4 linked regions of the Saccharomyces cerevisiae S288C genome follow. Changing the gene in region 1 together with any one later gene gives a genetic interaction. Each region holds a gene or a part of one and is shown in the gene's direction. Other genes may lie near its edges.

Evidence for each region.
Region 2: mutations in ATP22 (region 1) and RCI50 together harm fitness more than expected from each alone (negative genetic interaction), as found in Saccharomyces cerevisiae (one large-scale study listed by BioGRID).
Region 3: mutations in ATP22 (region 1) and VTH1 together harm fitness more than expected from each alone (negative genetic interaction), as found in Saccharomyces cerevisiae (one large-scale study listed by BioGRID).
Region 4: mutations in ATP22 (region 1) and CCA1 together harm fitness more than expected from each alone (negative genetic interaction), as found in Saccharomyces cerevisiae (one large-scale study listed by BioGRID).

What each region holds. Positions count from the first base shown.
Region 1 is NC_001136.10:1,175,572-1,179,906, reverse strand, and holds ATP22 (Atp22p), read left to right. Parts: upstream 1-1,732; coding exon 1,733-3,787; downstream 3,788-4,335. Other genes in the region: SBE2 (Sbe2p), read right to left, coding at 1-1,241. UniProt on the Saccharomyces cerevisiae protein: Translation factor specific for subunit 6 of the mitochondrial ATPase. Required for assembly of the CF(0) component of the ATPase.
Region 2 is NC_001143.9:191,129-195,044, reverse strand, and holds RCI50 (Rci50p), read left to right. Parts: upstream 1-1,974; coding exon 1,975-3,366; downstream 3,367-3,916. Other genes in the region: RMA1 (putative tetrahydrofolate synthase), read left to right, coding at 179-1,471; OCT1 (metalloendopeptidase), read left to right, coding at 3,603-3,916.
Region 3 is NC_001141.2:9,935-16,649, forward strand, and holds VTH1 (signal sequence-binding protein), read left to right. Parts: upstream 1-1,557; coding exon 1,558-6,207; downstream 6,208-6,715. UniProt on the Saccharomyces cerevisiae protein: Functions as a sorting receptor in the Golgi compartment required for the intracellular sorting and delivery of soluble vacuolar proteins, like carboxypeptidase Y (CPY) and proteinase A.
Region 4 is NC_001137.3:520,471-524,598, reverse strand, and holds CCA1 (tRNA adenylyltransferase), read left to right. Parts: upstream 1-1,929; coding exon 1,930-3,570; downstream 3,571-4,128. Other genes in the region: RPH1 (Rph1p), read right to left, coding at 1-1,230; BCK2 (Bck2p), read right to left, coding at 3,828-4,128. UniProt on the Saccharomyces cerevisiae protein: Nucleotidyltransferase that catalyzes the addition and repair of the essential 3'-terminal CCA sequence in tRNAs, which is necessary for the attachment of amino acids to the 3' terminus of tRNA molecules, using CTP and ATP as substrates. tRNA 3'-terminal CCA addition is required both for tRNA processing and repair.

The sequences.
Region 1 (4,335 bases):
GTGTTACTTGAATTTGATGTATGTTTTCTAGTACTATGAACCTGATGGAAAGTTTTGTCCACACAGAGAGCCGAAGATGAGTGTTGTTTGCCTTCGCAATTGTTCTCCTGTATTAATATCTCTTCATCCCCCCGCGCTGAATCTAAACTCATTTCTTTTCTATTAAACTTAGATAATGTTAAAAAAGAACTGGTCGATAAAGATGCCATTGGAATGTTCCAAATTAACGAGCCGTCGACATCGCCCTCTTGAAGTTCCAAGTTAACGTCTTGATCTTCATAAAATTTTTCTTTCATTTTTATGGCTTTACGCAAAGATTGGTCATTTTGCTCTTTCCTTAAACGGTAACGTTGAGAAGGAGTAAGTTGGGTTGTTTTATATGGTAATATTACAGAAGTACTATTGGAATGCACATACGGCGTTTTTGTGATCGGCATGAGTTTTGGTTCTTGGATAGTTGCGGTACTCATGCAATGATGTTTAAGAGGAGAGTCATTCTCGCTTATGAATGAAGTTTGTGATGCGGCTATACTGTTGGTTGTATTGCTCGATCCAGGCAGCCCTACTGTCCTGGAGAGTTTAGGAGTTGACACCGAATTTTGACGAGATGGAATGCATGTAGTTATGGTACTCATTGAGCAGATTGTTTTATCAGCGCTACTTGCTGTACGTGTTTTCTGTAGTATTGATCCCGGTCGGCTTTTCTTTAAGGGCGTAATATTGCTTCTATGGTCAGCTTCTCTCATACTTTTGAAGAAGCAGTTATCCTCCATCTTACTGTTTGCTATTTCACCCTCTTCTGAGCTTATATCTGATGTACATAAAGAATCAGATGTCGTATTTGAGTGCGATGAAGAAAATATCTCTGTGCTCGATGTACCTATAGAATCATCTGATATTGGCCTAATGCACTTCGCTGTGGGTACGTGTGGATTATTATTACCTAATACATTTTTAACAACATCTTGGCTAGCGAAATTGAAATCTAGGTTGGAGCTAGGGCGTCTTGTTCCAATATTCTTTCCGTTCGAACCTGTAGTGCTACTGGATGCACTACTGCCTGATCGGGATTTAGACAACGGAAGGCTGCAACTTTTGCGTTCGGTATATTCTGAAAGCATCAACTCCTTTGTGGAAAACTTCTTAGGTTGATTTTGTTTCAGATGCGTTGAGTCCTCCTCCTTTAAAGGGTCTAGCTTAGACGTATTAGGAACTATATTAATCAAACGACGTGCTGTCATACAATAAAATTGAATGTCACAGAAAGCTAAAGAGCTGAAGTAAAATAATGAAGCAAAGGTGGAAGCCCGAAAATAAAGTTAAAATTCAAAGCTTGTAACGAACGTATGAATGAAAGCACTAATTGAGAAAAAACTGAATTTTGTCAAAACAGCTCTATGTTTCAGAATGATAAAAAGGAGAGTTAAAAATACAATGGACAGTGGAATACAGCCAAATGCTCGATAGCTTTCGCAGAAACAGTACAATTAAAGATCAACACTTGTATTCTAATTATAGCAGGATCGATGTTACATCTCTTTTGCTCTCTAATCGGAGCTGAAAAAAAAAAAAAAAAGCGTATATAGTGATCTACGCTGATTAACATTATAGATTGCATAAAAGGGAAAAAGGAATTACATGAAGATCTATTCTGCGCGACACACTTTATTGGCGTACTGGCAAGAATGGGCTTTCAAATCTTCCAAGCGTTCACTTTAATGTTCTTATTGGCATGTTAAAATGTATATGCCGTGTCTATTCCCAGCCTTTGGCTCAAATGGTCACTTCACCGCTGTTTAAACATATGGGTAGCGCAGGGACATACACAATTCTACCTATTACAAATCTGCGCCATTTATCTACGAAAAACTGTCCATTGAAAATTAAATCAAATCGTTCAGAACCTTTGCAGTTTGGCGATTTTGAACGACAGGTGCCATGTTCTAGGAAGAGCGGATCTTCGAAAAATGTTCAGAAGCGTTTATACGAGCTCCGACAATTGAAAACTGTATTAAGTGAGACTTTTGGAGTAACTGAATACGCCTCTTTTTTTGAATCTCTACGAAATGCCCTGCATATAAATAATTGCTCAGAAAATGAAAAGAAGAAACTTTTATATGATATCATTTTGCATCAACACGAGTTATACCCAGAGGTGGCAAGAAAAATTGGATTTTATCTACCAGGTGAGGTCCACAGATGGTTCTGGTATCATATTCCAAAATCAGAATCTTTTAATCACTATCTTTTTCTTTTGAAAAGTGATGTTCTTCTCTTTACTTCTAACTACTGTACGAGATTTACCAATAGGCTGATAAAAGGAACTGAGATGGAGAGGCAGTTAGCCACGTTCCAAATATTTTTGCATGATGAGACAAACATAAAATTTATAATGGAAAAAGTTCTGAAGTTGCATACATTTGACAGCTTAATCGCTCTAGTAAATGGCCTTGTTAAGGCGAAAAATTTTAGGTTCATTAAAGTATTTATTCAAGCTCTACTACAGAAGTTGGAACAGCACTGTTATTCTGGTAAAGATGGAGCAAAGCAAAAGAACCTGCGTTATGTCAAGTTCAACAATACCTTACTTTATTACCTTTTGAAAAGTGGAAATGTTGAGTTATTCATCAAAACCTTTCAAGAGGAACTGAAATTCATTGTAAGCTCAGGATTGCTTAATCACATTGATGGAAACGAACACATATTGAATTTTCCCATTCACCACTACTTGAATCTGCTCCGAATATCTAATAGGCAGGAGGAGCTTTTCAATGTAATTTCCTGCTTACAAAGCAGCCCACTGATGAAATATAAATTGTTCAAGGAGTTTTTAATGGGTGAATTAATTGCATCTTTTCAAGCCTTTCGTGACCCGAAATTGGTGTGTAAATATCTCCTCTCATCATACAGCTCAAAGGCGTCTGCTAATATTCTGAATGCCCTAGGGATTTGGGGGTGGCTCTATCATTCAAAATCAACGACTTTGACAGCTCCTACGTTAGCAAGAGAGCTGAAGAACAAAAATAATATTCTACCGAACACAATGCGAATAGGATCACCAGTGACTGTTCCAATTTTAACTGAACTGTATAGAAGCCTTTTATCTTCGAGTTCTGTTTCACTGGAAAGTGGTCAATTCAAGAATTGTCTTCTTGATTTATATTACAAGTACAAGAGTTTTCTTTCCGAGGAAGCTCATAAATACAGGTATTGGAGAAATGATACCGGAATCCTCAATGTTTTCCTAAATTATATTAGATTCCAAGCTCGTGAACCAAGGCTGGCCTACAATGTTCTTCTGGATTTTTATTCTCAACCTTTCGCCAAAAAAGTGGTTTTAACTACCACGCTATGTCCCTTTTCCATAGTAGCCTATAAAAATCATACATTAACGCAGGCTGAACTATCAGAATTGCTACAGGTGATGCATAAAAATGGGGTGCCTTTAACGTTTAAATTTTGTTCTGCAATGGTAATGCATTATGTCAAAATGAGAGACGAAAAAGGAGCACGCTCCTGGTACAATAAGATACTCTTCGGGGGCTTTGAAATCAGGCATATGGCTTTGATACAGATAATAAAAGACCAAGGCTGGCCGTTTCCCAAAAACTTTGACGAAACTTTACTGACGGAATTGGTGGAAAATAATAACATTAAAGAACCTACTGATAGCACCCTGTTTACTGACGAAGATATGTTCGAAGAAGATGGCAAGCCTAGATTTAATGATGATGATGTTAATAAATGTACAAATATTATAAGAGAGACGTTGAAAAGTCTAAATTAATATCCAGATGAGCACTAGTAAATAGTAAATATTCATTCATAGATAGTAATTTACCCATAAGTTATTAATACCTACAAAGTTTTTTCATAAGTTTATGAATATGTCTTCTTGGCCCATGGTTACTTTATTACCTCTAATACCTTATTTACTTTCTCAAATAAATGAGCCCTTGGATTTCATTTACTGAGAATAAAAAAAAGTACCGTGCTCGGCAAAAATGCTCCAGGGGAGGTTCGAACTCTCGACCTTCAGATTATGAGACTGACGCTCTTCCTACTGAGCTACTGAAGCTTTGTTTTGTACAGACGTTACATCTCAGAATGGGATACGTCAGCATGACAATACATTATCCTGAACGTTCATAGAACACATATGAAACCTAAGAAAACGAACAGATTGAGCAACATGAGGTAAAACTCCGCCTTCTATAGCTGGGCTATCTAAACGTATAAATGCCTGAACAATTGGTTTATGAGAAATGGGTGTATTTTGAGAGACTTGTTGGGATTCCATTGTTGATAAAGGCTATAATATTAGGTGTACAGAAT
Region 2 (3,916 bases), on another chromosome or scaffold:
TATAGCCTAAAATGAAGCCTCCTCTGATGTGGGAGGGACCCCAATTTAGGTCAATAATGATTTTTTAAATTTATATTCTTGTCTTAATGAAACTTGAGTCAAGTCGACCAGTTTCCTGACGATTTTGATATAGAATAATATTGCTCGTTTGGCCGGCAACAGATTACATAAGAAGCAGATGGATGATATAAGCGGAAGGCAAACTTTACCTCGAATAAACCGTTTGTTGGAGCACGTGGGAAATCCCCAAGATAGTTTGTCAATCCTACATATAGCGGGAACAAATGGTAAGGAGACAGTATCTAAATTTTTGACATCCATATTGCAGCATCCGGGGCAACAGCGGCAAAGGGTCTTGATTGGTAGGTATACTACATCTTCCTTGCTAAACGCCAAAGAAGAGGATATTAGCATTAATAATGAAGCCATTTCCTTGATAGAGTATTCTAGGATCGAGAAGGAACTTATAGAAGCAGATAGTTCTTTGAAATTACAGTGCAACAACCTCGAACTGCTAACAAGCGTAGCTCTCGTATACTTCGCTAAGAAAAATTGCCAATGGTGCATAATAGAAACTGGTTTAGCTGGAAAACAGGACCCTGGAAGTATAATTGCTGGTCAAAGTAGAGTCTGTTGCGCCATTACTAACGTGGGCATTAGCGATGAAGCTTTTTTATGCAAGTTTTTGTCTCAAATTACTGAAAGTTCCACAAATAAAGCAATTTTTCTATTAGACGGTTCTAATGACGAATTTGTACGAAATACGATAACGAAACGGTGCCATGATGTTGGATGTCCATTAGAAATCACCGACCCTTCTCTTAGGGATTACAATGTACACACAGACACATGGGGCACTCTTGAAGTTCGCCTGCCATACAGTGAAGAAGAATATCAAATATTTAATTTGAGAGTTGCGATAGCGGTTTTAGACTTTTTGAGCAAGGAAAAAAAGGTTTGTATTTCAAAGGATCAACTATCCCAAGGTTTAATATCTGTGGATTGGCCAAGAAGTTTACATCGCTTGGATTACTGTTATGAATCTACTAGTGGAAAGAAAATCGCATTACTATTAGACAACGCAAATAATGCGAAGGCAGCTCGAAATTTAGCCTGCCATTTAAGGACCACGTACGGTGATACGCCATTAACATTTGTCATTGCTATAACAACTGGGAAAAAGGTGTCTCCCTTACTTGATCCGCTAATACGTCCACAAGATTATGTTATTGTGACTAGATTTGGGTCAGTGGTTGGAATGCCGTGGATCCAATCCCTAGAACCGGTGAATCTTCTCGCATTTATCAAAAACCGGTATACGAGAAATGTTAACATGCAGCCGGATCTTCAAAGTGTCTGGACCTTCCTTGAAACAAGTGGGTTAAAGACGATTGTTCCTGTTATCGTATGTGGATCACTGTATATCTGCAAAGAGCTATTGCGCTTACACAACTGTCACTTGCCAGTATAGTTTTTAGATATATGATCATATCCTACAATGCAATTACCGATATTGATAGAGGACCAGTCTGCCAAGGGCATCCGGGGATATATCATATTTTCCTTCTTTTATAACGGCATGTAACTTTACTTTTACTTTAAACTATGGCATTACATTCCAGCTTTTCAAGAGTTATTAGTGATTCATTACTTATAAAGTTTTTCCGACCACATTTTGATACTTTGTACCTGATATAGATAAAACAATTACCTTATAAATTGATTCTCTCATATTTATCTTGATGAGAAAACGATTGAGGAGATTTGTGTGTAATTTGGTTCTCGTAACAAATACCATTAAATAATCCTTGACTAGTAATACATACCAAACAAAGAACGATTTGCGGATACTCAGCCGCACGAAAATTTCTAAAATTGAACTAAATCCTTTAGGATATATAAAAGGGCACAAAGTGAGAACGTAAAAACAGCATTATAAAGATATTGTAATGAAGAAATTTATGCTCATTTAGTATGTGGAAATACCTTCATAGATCAGTCAAAAATGAAGGGACCGTAGAACGGCTCACTAACCTCAACTTATTTACCAATCACCGTTTCAAGTTTTATTCTACATTAAAGGAACAAAGTTTTTGGAGAATACCATTCAAAAGAAGGAGCAAATTACAGAAATGGGTGTTATCGACAGGCATCGTAAGTTTCATCGCTTTTAACATATGGTGGGTTTATTGGCCACATCATACTTTTCCCAAACCCGTTGCTAAAATATTAAGGAAGGGGTTACATTCAGAAATTAAGAAAGAAGGTGCGAACTACCAAAAAAGCCTTGAGTACTACCTCGAAGCTTTAGAAGAATGTAAAGCCGAAAACGTGGATCTACTTTCGGATGAATATACCGGTATTGAAATCAAAATCGGAGAAATGTATGAGAAATTACATATGTATAATGATGCTACAGCTTTATATGGAGACATGCTGAAAAAGTTCTATAATGAACTAAGCAAAACTACTGATAAGTCAACGAAGAGAAAATTCTTTTTGTTGAAAAGAGACCTTCAAATTTTGGTAAGGTTCAATGAAATAAATAAAGACTCTGAAACTAATGCAACGTTATTGATAATGCACCTTTTATTAGCTCAACGAGAATTTTTGGAGAACTCACCGGAGTTCAAAAATGTTCTTTCCAAATCAGAACTTTTAAACAACCAACAGCTTGACTGGAAGAATTTCAAGGGTCTACCATTTATTGGTAAATCCAAACCTGACTACCAAATGCATTTAAACTCTAAAAGAAAACAGGAGTTGAAGATAAAGGAACCTGAAAGCGAACAATGCGTTTTCATGAAAGAACTTCTGACTGCAAGAGATTTATATACTCGTTACTGTCTCAATCGGAGTAATCTTTCTGGGGCCTTGAATAGCAAAATAACAACACTAGAATGGATGTTACTAGCGGATAGTCCTCTGGACGACATCTTGCTTGCCCAGGCAGAGCTCGGGTCGATTTTTTATCTAAATTCAGAGAAGTTCGAAGGAAGTCTATACGCTATTGATAATGAACCGTACAAAAAATCAGAACCTTTAGAACTTATTCGGTCCAGGTTACAAGAAAACCAGAATTCCTGCTTACAGTACTCGGCTGACTGCTATAAAAGTATTATCAGCTTTGCCAATGAAAATCAATATCCAAAAGTTGCAATGGAAAGCGAAATGGATCAGAGAATACTTAAGGCATTATCCCTTGCTCACTACGGTATTGGTGTGATAAATTTGCATAAGGGACGCTTGAGGGCATCTAAGAAGGAACTTAAAAAGGCTATTCGTATTTCAGAGATGATTAGATTTAATGAACTCATTGAGGAAGCTCAACGTGAACTTAAAAAGGTTGATGGTACGCCTATATAAATCTTACATTTGTATATATATTCTTCTAAATTTTCATCAATATGTTGAAATGCCGAAAGATGTCGATTCCTCATTGGATATGGCGAATTTTACGTCACCGCCTCATGAACAAAAGTGAGAAAAATACATATATAGCGTCAAAATCAAAACAAATGATGAATTTACTTGCAAAGACTAAATGTGTAAGGGAATAGGTATCAGAACATTAAGTGAAGGCGCCGAAAGTAATATCAGTAATGCTTCGCACGATAATATTGAAAGCCGGGTCCAATGCCTCCATACCGTCACCTTCCCGCCAAAATAAGTTACTCAGGTTCTTCGCCACAGCCGGCGCAGTCTCTAGGACCAGTCCAGGAAGCATTAAGAAGATTTTCGACGACAATTCATATTGGAGAAATATTAATGGTCAGGATGCTAATAATAGCAAGATCTCACAATATCTTTTTAAAAAAAATAAAACCGGACTTTTCAAGAACCCTTATTTGACTTCTCCAGATGGTTTGCGTAAGTTTAGCCAGGTTTCTTTGCAGCAAGCACAAGAACTTCTCGA
Region 3 (6,715 bases), on another chromosome or scaffold:
TGGCGCTAATTTGTTCTATTCTATTCTAAAAACGTTTTCTAGGAAAAATATATTAATAGTTGATACTCCTTGTAATTTCTAAGTCAAAAGAAATGTCTCTATCTTTATCGTAACGGCTCATCGTTAGAGCTCAATTGTGCCTCTTGGATGTATTTCCAAAGTTCCACGTTTAATAACCCAGCCAACACAGATTCCTTTGAGAACAAATGGCTACCAAAGTTTCATTCAAATAAGCCTGACAATCAACCCCATCAAAGAGGAGCTCTTTGTTTTTCCAAACCCATGAGAAAAAAATACAGTTCCTTTTCCATACCAAAAAATGAAGAAGAAATCATGTGCTGAGAGTTGCCTGCAGTCGTAGAAGTTTACGATCCTAACCCATTATGTGATTCGTTGTGAGTCACCCTTCCATGATTATGTGTCCTTACTACCTACTATCCAATTACTACATATGTTTTGAACTCATATGTACCAAGCACCTAAAATTACGCACCCATTTCCATTGGCAAAGACTTGACGAAATTTAATACACTGCAATAATATCCAGCGATACTCTTCAAGAATTCCCGCCTATAATGGCGGCTCGCTGTCCGAAAGATTGCGCCGCACTTGACTGCTTCTTACACTCCTTTTTCCCAGGCGATAAACAGACTAAGCGGAAACTACGATATAATGCAGTAGAGGTCCCCCAAGAGCTGGAAAGAAAATATTAGTTTGATAGCCAGCACTATTCCATCCAGTGGGTTCTTGTACCATTTTCTGTGGTATGGCTTTGATTCAACTGCATACGTAGTTAACGCGATCAGCCGCACATGTCCATTATCATTTTCAGGGGTACTGGTAAACCCTATTGTTTAGAAAGAATATCTGGTAAGCGGGTCTGTCGAGTCTTCACTTCCTTCATACACATTTTATTGAGTAAATTATACTTAGATCCGGAATCATAACGTTGGAAAAGGAGACAAGGTTGGATAAGTTATGTAGGCGTATTTCAATAAGACGTATATGATTTAGTCTAAGAAACCGACGTATCTAGCCAGCATTCGCACTATGACGACAGTTTAACGTCGTATTGAGCAGCATCAACTGAATATAATGAAAAAAAAAAAATCATTCCTTGAAATTCGTTCTTCCGAAAACTGCTCAAGGTGATAGCACCTCAAGAACAATTCTTCGTTTGAATTTATTATCAAATTCATCACCGTCAGAGTTATAAGTTGCACTGTATTCCTGGTGACCCTAGTAACCCAAAATACCATTTTCTGATTTTGCAATCATATTTATTGGCTTTAGCGAACATATGATCACCATACTATCTTGATGGTTGACCAAGAAGCGAACATCTTCGAACCAAAGTCACCGAATCTCAAGGAATGCAAAATTCGTGGCTCAGTGCTCTCAAGACAATGTTGCAACCCTTTGCGTCAATTATATATATATATATATATATATATATATCCCGTCCGCTTTCTTTTTTTTGTCAGTTGGGTCGCAACGCAGGGTCTCGAGACCTGAAAAAAGCTTCATAGCGATATTAAAGGTAGAGGTACACCCATAATGGCATTGTTTCGTGCCCTGTATATTATTTGGGTATTCCTACTCATTCCACTGTCCAATGCAGAAGAATTCACCCCCAAGGTTACCAGAACTTTGTCAAGATATGTATTCGATATAGTAAACTTTGATGATTCAAACACTTTGATCAGAGCAGAAGAAGACTCTGTCGAGATAAGTTTTGATGCTGGAGAAAATTGGAAAACAATAGATGAGATTGAAGAGCCTATCGAGTCATTTGTTGTTGATCCCTTCCGTGGGCATGATAGAGCTTTTGCTTTCGTGAAAACGGCACCAAAATTTTACGTCACGGATGATCAAGGTAAATCGTGGAGGCCTTTGACTATACCCATTTCTGAGAAAGCATCGAATTATTTTTGCGACGTAACTACTCACCCTATAAAAAAGAAGCATCTTATTATTCGTTGTGATTTGTTGACAATAAAAAACTCAGGCTTAATGTATGTTGGAAGAGAGATTTACACAACTAATGATGGAGTATCCTTTTCCCAAGTTAAACCTTCTTTTGGAAAAATTGATGGTCATATTAGCACGGCACGCTGTGACTTTATTAAATCTAGTGAGGATTCTGATCTGGGCGGTAATGATGCTTCGATACTCTGTCTTTTCCGAAACACTGAGTACATTGAAAGTACAGGCTCAACTATTGACAAGTCTGAATTGATTTTAAGTGCCGATGGAGGTGAAACATTCAAAGAATTAGTCCAGTTCAAAGATAAGGTTGTTAGTCGATACGAGATACTTAAGCATCATGTGATCGTTTTGACACAAGATGATATGTATAATGAAATGTCATCAACAAACATTTGGATATCCAATGATGTATCCACTTTTCAAGTGGCTCGTACACCTACTAAGATACGGCACGTTAATATGGGACAAATTCATGAAGATTCCATCGGAAGAATCGTTTTACCTGTATCTAGAGAAAGAGATGATGAAGACAGCAACCAACCGGGAGCTGCTGAAGTGTTAATATCAGATTCTGAAGGACTAAAATTTTTGCCTATAAATTGGATACCAAACAATCAGTTTGGATATATCAATGTAGCTTATCCAGGTTTCTTAAAAGGAACATTTTTTGGTTCGTTTCATCCCTTCATTGAATATTCTGATAGAAAAAGGAAATACAGCCGACAGAAAGTAAGAGAGGAAACTAAAGTATCTGTTGATAACGGTCTCACATGGACAAACTTGAAAGTTGTTGACCGGGAAAATGTAGATTTATTTGGTTGTGATGTCACTAAACCCGAGAGATGTTCGCTTCAGACTCATTTCTATGATCTAAGAAATTTAAATCCCTCTGCCGGAATCATGATGATATCGGGTATTGTTGGCGACGGCAGTGCATACAATTGGAAAGAAGAAAAAACTTTCATCTCCAGGGATAGTGGTTTAACATGGAGGTTAGTCCATAATTCCACTGGTTTATATACTACTGGTGATCTGGGAAATATTATCATGTATATTCCATATCGTTCGAATGAAAATGGCGATGTGCCTTCTAAATTTTATTATTCCTTGGATCAAGGTAAGACATGGGGTGAATATGATCTAATCATGCCTATTTATCCATACAGATTAGTCAGCACAATATCAGATGGATCTGGTTCAAAATTTATTCTAACAGGAACGTCCATTACAGAAGATCCAATATTCATTACATATTCAATTGATTTTTCAGCGGTATTTGATTATAAATCATGTGAAGAGGGTGATTTTGAAGATTGGAATCTAGCAGATGGAAAATGTGTTAATGGCGCCAAATACAAGTACAGAAGGAGGAAACAGGACGCCCAGTGTTTGGTAAAAAAAGCATTCAAAGATTTGAGTTTAGATGAAACGCCTTGTAACAGTTGTACTGGATCCGACTACGAATGTTCGTTTGAATTCGTTAGAGATGCGAAGGGTGACTGTATACCAGATTATAATCTGATTGCCCTTTCCGATATATGTGACAAATCGAAGGGTAAATCTGTGTTAGTAAAGCCACTACAATTAATCAAAGGTGATAAATGTAAAACACCTATGAAAATTGAATCCGTAGACATTCCGTGTGACGAAATTCCAAAGGAGGGTTCGAGTGACAAGGAAATAGTGACTACTGAAAACAAATTCGACTTTGAAATTAAATTTTACCAATACTTCGATACAGTTGCCGACGAATCTTTGGTCATGCTGAATTCGATAGGAGACGCCTATATATCCCACGATGGTGGACAAACGATAAAAAGGTTTGACACTGACGGCGAAAAAATTGTCGAAATCGTGTTTAACCCATACTTCAATTCTTCAGCATATTTGTTTGGCTCTAAAGGTAACATATTCTTAACACACGATAGAGGATACTCTTTCATGATAGCTAAATTACCTGAAGCCAGGCAATTAGGCATGCCACTAGATTTTAGTGCTAAAGCACAGGATACTTTTATTTACTATGGTGGTAAGAATTGTGAATCAATTTTAAGTCCAGAATGTCATGCAGTGGCATACCTCACCAAAGATGGGGGTGAAACTTTTACAGAAATGCTTGATAATGCAATTCATTGTGAGTTTGCAGGAACACTATTCAAATATCCGTCAAATGACGATATGGTTATGTGCCAAGTAAAGGAAAAGTTTTCGCAAACAAGAAGTTTAGTTTCTTCTACTGACTTTTTCCAAGATGATAGAAAAACTGTCTTTGAAAACATTATCGGCTACTTGTCTACTGGTGGCTATATCATTGTTGCCGTACCTCATGAAGACAATGAATTGAGGGCGTATGTAACTAATGATGGTGCTGAGTTTACCGAGGCAAAATTCCCATATGATGAAGATATTGGTAAGCAAGACGCATTCACTATTTTAGGATCTGAGGAAGGATCAATATTTTTACATTTAGCAACAAACTTGGAATCAGGACACGATTTCGGAAACCTTTTGAAATCCAACTCGAATGGTACTTCTTTTGTCACCTTAGAGCATGCCGTTAATAGAAACACATTCGGTTATGTGGACTTTGAAAAAGTTCAAGGTCTTGAAGGTATTATTATCACCAACATCGTTTCGAATAGCGAAAAGGTTGGCGAGAACAAGGAAGACGAACAATTGAAGACGAAAATCACCTTCAATGACGGTTCAGATTGGAACTTTTTGAAGCCTCCAAAGAAGGATTCGGAAGGGAAAAAGTTTCCCTGTGATTCTGTGTCATTAGATAAATGTTCTCTACATTTGCATGGTTACACTGAACGTAAGGATATCAGGGATACATATTCCTCTGGCTCCGCGTTAGGAATGATGTTTGGTGTCGGAAATGTTGGCGATAGGCTTCTACCATATGAGGAGTGTTCCACTTTTCTAACCACTGATGGAGGAGAGACGTGGACTGAGGTTAAAAAAGGCCCCCATCAATGGGAGTACGGTGATCATGGTGGAGTCTTGGTTTTGGTCCCCGAAAACGCAGAAACTGATTCTATTTCTTACTCCACCGATTTTGGTAAAACATGGAAAGATTATAAATTCTGTGGCGACAAAGTCCTCGTAAAGGATATAATCACCGTTCCCAGAGATTCTGCTTTGAGGTTTTTGCTATTTGGAGAAGCAAAAAACATGGGTAGTGGTTCATTCAGAACGTATACAATTGATTTTAGAAACATCTTCGAGAGGCAATGTGAGTTTGATATTACCGGTAGAAAAAGGGCAGATTTTAAGTACTCTCCTCTGGGTTCCAGAACTGGTTGTTTGTTTGGCCATAAAACAGAATTTTTACGTAAAACCGATGAAAAATGTTTTATTGGGAATATTCCACTTTCTGAATTTTCGAGGAACGTCAAAAACTGTCCATGTACAAGACAAGATTTCGAATGTGACTATAATTTTTATAAAGCCAGTGATGGTACTTGTAAATTAGTCAAAGGCTTAAGTTCGGCGAATGGTGCCGATATCTGCAAAAAGGAACCCGACTTAATTGAATACTATGATTCCTCCGGCTATCGGAAAATTCCCTTATCAACCTGTAAAGGTGGGCTGAAATTGGATGCACATTTAGCACCACATCCTTGTCCGGGAAAAGAAAAGGCATTCAGGGAAAAATACTCTATAAACACCGGCGCTTATGCGCTGGTTTTTGTTACAATTCTTCTCGTTATTTTCTTTGTCGCATGGTTTGTATACGATAGAGGTATCAGGAGAAATGGGGGATTTTCAAGATTTGAAGAAATCAGATTAGGAGACGATGGGCTGATAGAAAACAATAGGACCGATAGAGTTGTCAACATCATTGTAAGACTAGGATTATGCATTTCTTTAATCACCAAGTCTGCGTTTCAACGCGCGAAGGCAGGTACAGCGCAACTTTCTTCAAAATTTAGGGCAAGGTTTGGCAACAAAAAAGGTGCCACTTACTCTTCGCTGCTTCATGATCAGCTTTCAGATGAACCAGATGGCTTCCATGAAGATTCCAACGATTTATCCAGTTTCAGAGGTCAAGGTAGTAATTCTGAAATTGAGCAAGAAGATGTTGACACATCTCAACAAGAGCATACGTTGCGGACAGACCTACTTGGTGCTAGCAATATTCCAGACGCTTTGCCAGCGCGTAGTGCTTCTCACGAGTCCGATTTAGCAGCTGCACGCAGCGAAGACAAGTAGGTAGGTCTTTTTAAACGAACGAAATTGTTCACGCATTGTATGTTGGGTTTCTTACATATCAATCACTCAGAAGCCCATTTTCTACCTCCATCACCGTACTTATAGAATTATTTTTCTTTCTTGACACAATATACTGTGGCTAGTTTAACATTTCGTGCCCTTTAAATATTTTTCATGGTGTGGACAGAACAACGTCAATTGTAAGGAGCATGGAGGTCAAATAAACAATACCTCAAACTAAATAATGAAGACCCCAAGAAGCCTTGCAATCGGCAGTAATTATATTCATGGTACTAATTGTCACTATTCGTCTACACTCTAGTAAAAGTTCTTGATGCAAATTTTTTTATTTTTATGTATGAGAACTGCCGAAAAAAAAGGTTTGGATATTAACTTTGTTAAATAAAATAATACAATCAATTCAAACTTTTTACTGTTTCTTTTTTCAGCTAACTATATCATACTATTGTACACAATTATTAATTACCACTTACATTAACTGTTATTC
Region 4 (4,128 bases), on another chromosome or scaffold:
AGATCTAAGCGAGCTGCTTTCCATTTCTTTTAAAGTTGGCCTGTGAAGTAAGGGCATGGCAGGATTGGGTAATTGATTGAGGGGTGGCGTTCCTTTCGACTCTTTATTATTGTCCCTCCAAGATTTAGCGAGTTTCTTAACATCTATTTCCACTGAGTCTGAAATGCAGTGGCATTTTCCAGCTTTCTTCCCAATCGGTAGCCACTCCTCCAAAGCAAAGTTGACGGATTCTGCCAAGTTATATCCATAATTGAACCCTGCATGGTAACCATAGGGATAAGTGATCATGAATTCGCCTTCATGGTGGACAATTTCATTGCATCGTATGCCATTTTCCTGCAGCAGTTTGGGCGAAGCCAAAAACATTTTATGTCTTAAAAATTCAGGACAATTTTTGGCTTCTTCGGGAAATTGCTCCTGCATGAATTTGTAGAATTTGAACCTATCCTCTTGCGGTATCGAATACCACTGTTTTGGGGCACCGAAATGAATATAATTTATGGAATACAGGTCCTGATCTTCCAAGTGCCAAGAAAAAGAAGCCTTCCATAGACCAGCGTATAGATAGGAGTCATTCACCCCAGGAACCTTTGTTTCCATATGGTCCAAGATGTTCGGTAGTTTGGCAACATTCCAAACGTTCAGCCCTTCAGGAAAGATTGATCCTGGTGTATCTGCGCCGTACATAGGCGTAGTAAAATTTAGCGTTTTCCAATAATACTCTTCCAAGAACTTTAATCTCTCCGTATTTTGGAAGTCAGATAAATCTATTGTATACTCCGTCCTGAACTGTTCAAAATCATCAATATTAAAAGACGATTCAAAATTTTTCAGTTTCAACTTCGTGGATTTGGAAACGGAGCCTTTCCTAGAATTACGTCTTGCTTTAGGATCCTCCGGAGGCACATAGTCCTTAGAAAGATCTTTCCACTGTATAATGTTATAGGTCTTGTTTTTCTCCACGTTCTGCACCATAAAAAGACCTTTATTACCAGAAATATGCTGCTGAATAGGTGATTTAATCTTGATCTTTTGGAGCGTTTCCGCAGAATAAGGCAGATCTAATTTGTCTTTCCATTCTTTAGGTGGGATTACTTTCACAACACCACTTTTCATGCCATATTTGTTTATGGCCTTGCAGTATGCATAGAAATCTTCGAATTGCTCGTATGTGGGTTTGAAGACGGGCACTCCGCCCACGATTTCTGAAGGAGCGATTAGTTTCGTCATGATTTCACGCAACTGAATATCCTCACCAAGACAGTCTTATTCTTTTTTTCCCTTTTTTTTATCTGTTTATTTTTCTCCAGCAGATCTATAAAATAAGTGGTACTAATAGAAAGGTTAAGTCCCCCTATTTTAAAATAATGCTGATAGAATGATTAAATTGGCCGCTTGATGAAAACCGCAAGTAGCTACTTCAGGGACAAGCAACGCCTTCGATGCGAATATATGTTTTGCTGATAACGATCTATGTACAGCGTCTGCAATTCTCTTAAAATTATCGCCTTGCCATTGTTACTTAAGGAGTCTATGTGATTAATTGCATGGCGATGAGGTTACCCTTGAAAAATATAGAAAAGATTTTTCCGAATAAAAAGAAAGTAAAACTAAAAAAAAAAAAAAAATGGAAAAAGAAAAAGAAACGTTTAGGGGAGAGGAGGGCTGCGGTTAAGGCTTATGGGGTGTATGGGCGGGGGAAATAGGGCATACTTTCTCGATTCACCAAACCCTTAGGTCATCTGATTTTTAGGGTTGTGTTCTTGTCGTTACTCAGCCCTAAAAAACATTCGTTAGGGTTGAAAAGTTGAAAAATGAATCGCAAAAATCTACCATATTAACAATGTACTAAAGGAAACTACATAATACATCGCAACGCTTCCCTCGAGATTAATTCGTATCCGTGGGTTATAAGGGCTTTTTTTGTGTATGCTACGGTCTACTATATCTCTACTGATGAATAGTGCTGCTCAGAAAACGATGACGAATTCTAATTTTGTTCTAAATGCACCCAAAATCACCTTAACCAAAGTGGAACAGAACATCTGTAACTTGCTGAACGATTATACAGACTTGTACAATCAAAAGTACCACAATAAGCCTGAGCCATTGACTCTTCGGATCACGGGCGGATGGGTGCGTGACAAGCTTCTGGGACAAGGTTCTCACGACTTGGATATTGCCATCAATGTGATGTCAGGTGAGCAATTTGCTACTGGTTTGAACGAGTATTTGCAACAACATTACGCCAAATATGGAGCCAAGCCTCATAATATCCACAAGATTGACAAGAATCCCGAGAAATCCAAGCATCTGGAAACTGCCACTACTAAGCTCTTTGGCGTTGAAGTGGATTTTGTCAATTTAAGATCTGAAAAGTATACTGAACTTTCCAGGATACCTAAAGTGTGCTTTGGCACACCCGAGGAAGACGCTTTAAGAAGGGATGCTACATTGAACGCTCTTTTCTATAACATTCATAAAGGTGAAGTGGAAGATTTCACCAAGAGAGGTCTGCAAGATCTAAAAGATGGCGTTCTCCGTACTCCGCTTCCTGCAAAACAAACATTTTTGGATGATCCCTTGAGGGTTTTGAGGTTGATCCGTTTTGCTTCTAGATTCAACTTTACCATAGATCCGGAAGTGATGGCTGAAATGGGCGATCCTCAGATTAATGTTGCATTCAATTCAAAAATTTCTAGAGAGCGAGTTGGTGTGGAGATGGAGAAAATATTAGTAGGACCAACCCCTTTATTGGCTTTGCAGCTGATTCAAAGGGCTCATCTTGAAAATGTTATCTTTTTTTGGCATAATGATAGCTCCGTCGTAAAATTCAACGAAGAGAATTGTCAAGATATGGACAAAATTAATCATGTATACAATGATAACATACTAAACTCACACTTGAAAAGTTTTATTGAATTATATCCAATGTTTTTAGAGAAGCTTCCTATCTTAAGGGAAAAAATTGGTCGTTCGCCAGGATTTCAGCAAAATTTTATATTGAGTGCGATCCTGTCCCCCATGGCTAATTTACAAATAATCGGGAACCCAAAGAAGAAAATTAACAACCTGGTTTCGGTGACAGAAAGCATTGTGAAGGAAGGATTGAAGCTGAGTAAAAATGATGCAGCAGTTATTGCCAAGACCGTAGATTCAATATGTTCATATGAGGAAATACTTGCTAAGTTTGCAGATCGTTCCCAGCTAAAAAAATCCGAAATCGGTATATTTCTACGGAACTTTAATGGCGAATGGGAAACAGCACATTTTGCATCTCTATCAGATGCATTTTTAAAGATTCCCAAGCTTGAAACTAAAAAAATTGAATTACTTTTCCAAAATTACAATGAATTTTATTCTTACATATTTGACAATAATTTGAATAATTGTCATGAACTAAAACCAATAGTGGACGGAAAACAAATGGCAAAACTACTTCAAATGAAGCCAGGTCCATGGCTGGGTAAAATTAATAACGAAGCGATTAGGTGGCAGTTTGATAATCCTACAGGGACTGATCAAGAATTAATAACTCATTTAAAAGCCATACTACCAAAATACCTGTAGTAGCTTATTAGTATACATAAGACATGTAGAACAAGAATGCATAAATAACTTTCTGTTACCTTATTGAAAAGAAAAAAATAAAAAAAATGAAAACGAAAATGAAATAATATCTCTAGTAGTTATTCTATGGTGTATGATAACTAAACATATTTATTAGTTTTTATATACTCTATTCAAAATTTTTTACCAGTTTTTAACTTTTTCGAAAGATATCTGTTACTATTTTTGAACTTTTTTTTTTTTTTTTCATTCCTTTTTTAGTTGCTATTATCAAAATAAAAAGACTGTAAATTATTATCAATGTCGTTATTTGCAATTGGTGCTGCATTTTGATTATTTGAGTTTTCCACAGATGAGTTCGCCTGATACTGTGGAACGAAAGTATGACCATCGTAAAAATTTCTTTCACTGTTGTTTGAAACGTTTGAGCCCATCAGGTCGCCTAATGAAACAGTTGCTGAAGTATCCGGAGATATATTTCCAATGTATGTATCCGCAGACTTGGGTTCATTCATGTTGATGGCGCTGTTGCTGTTGTTATTGCTGTGGCCCATCTCA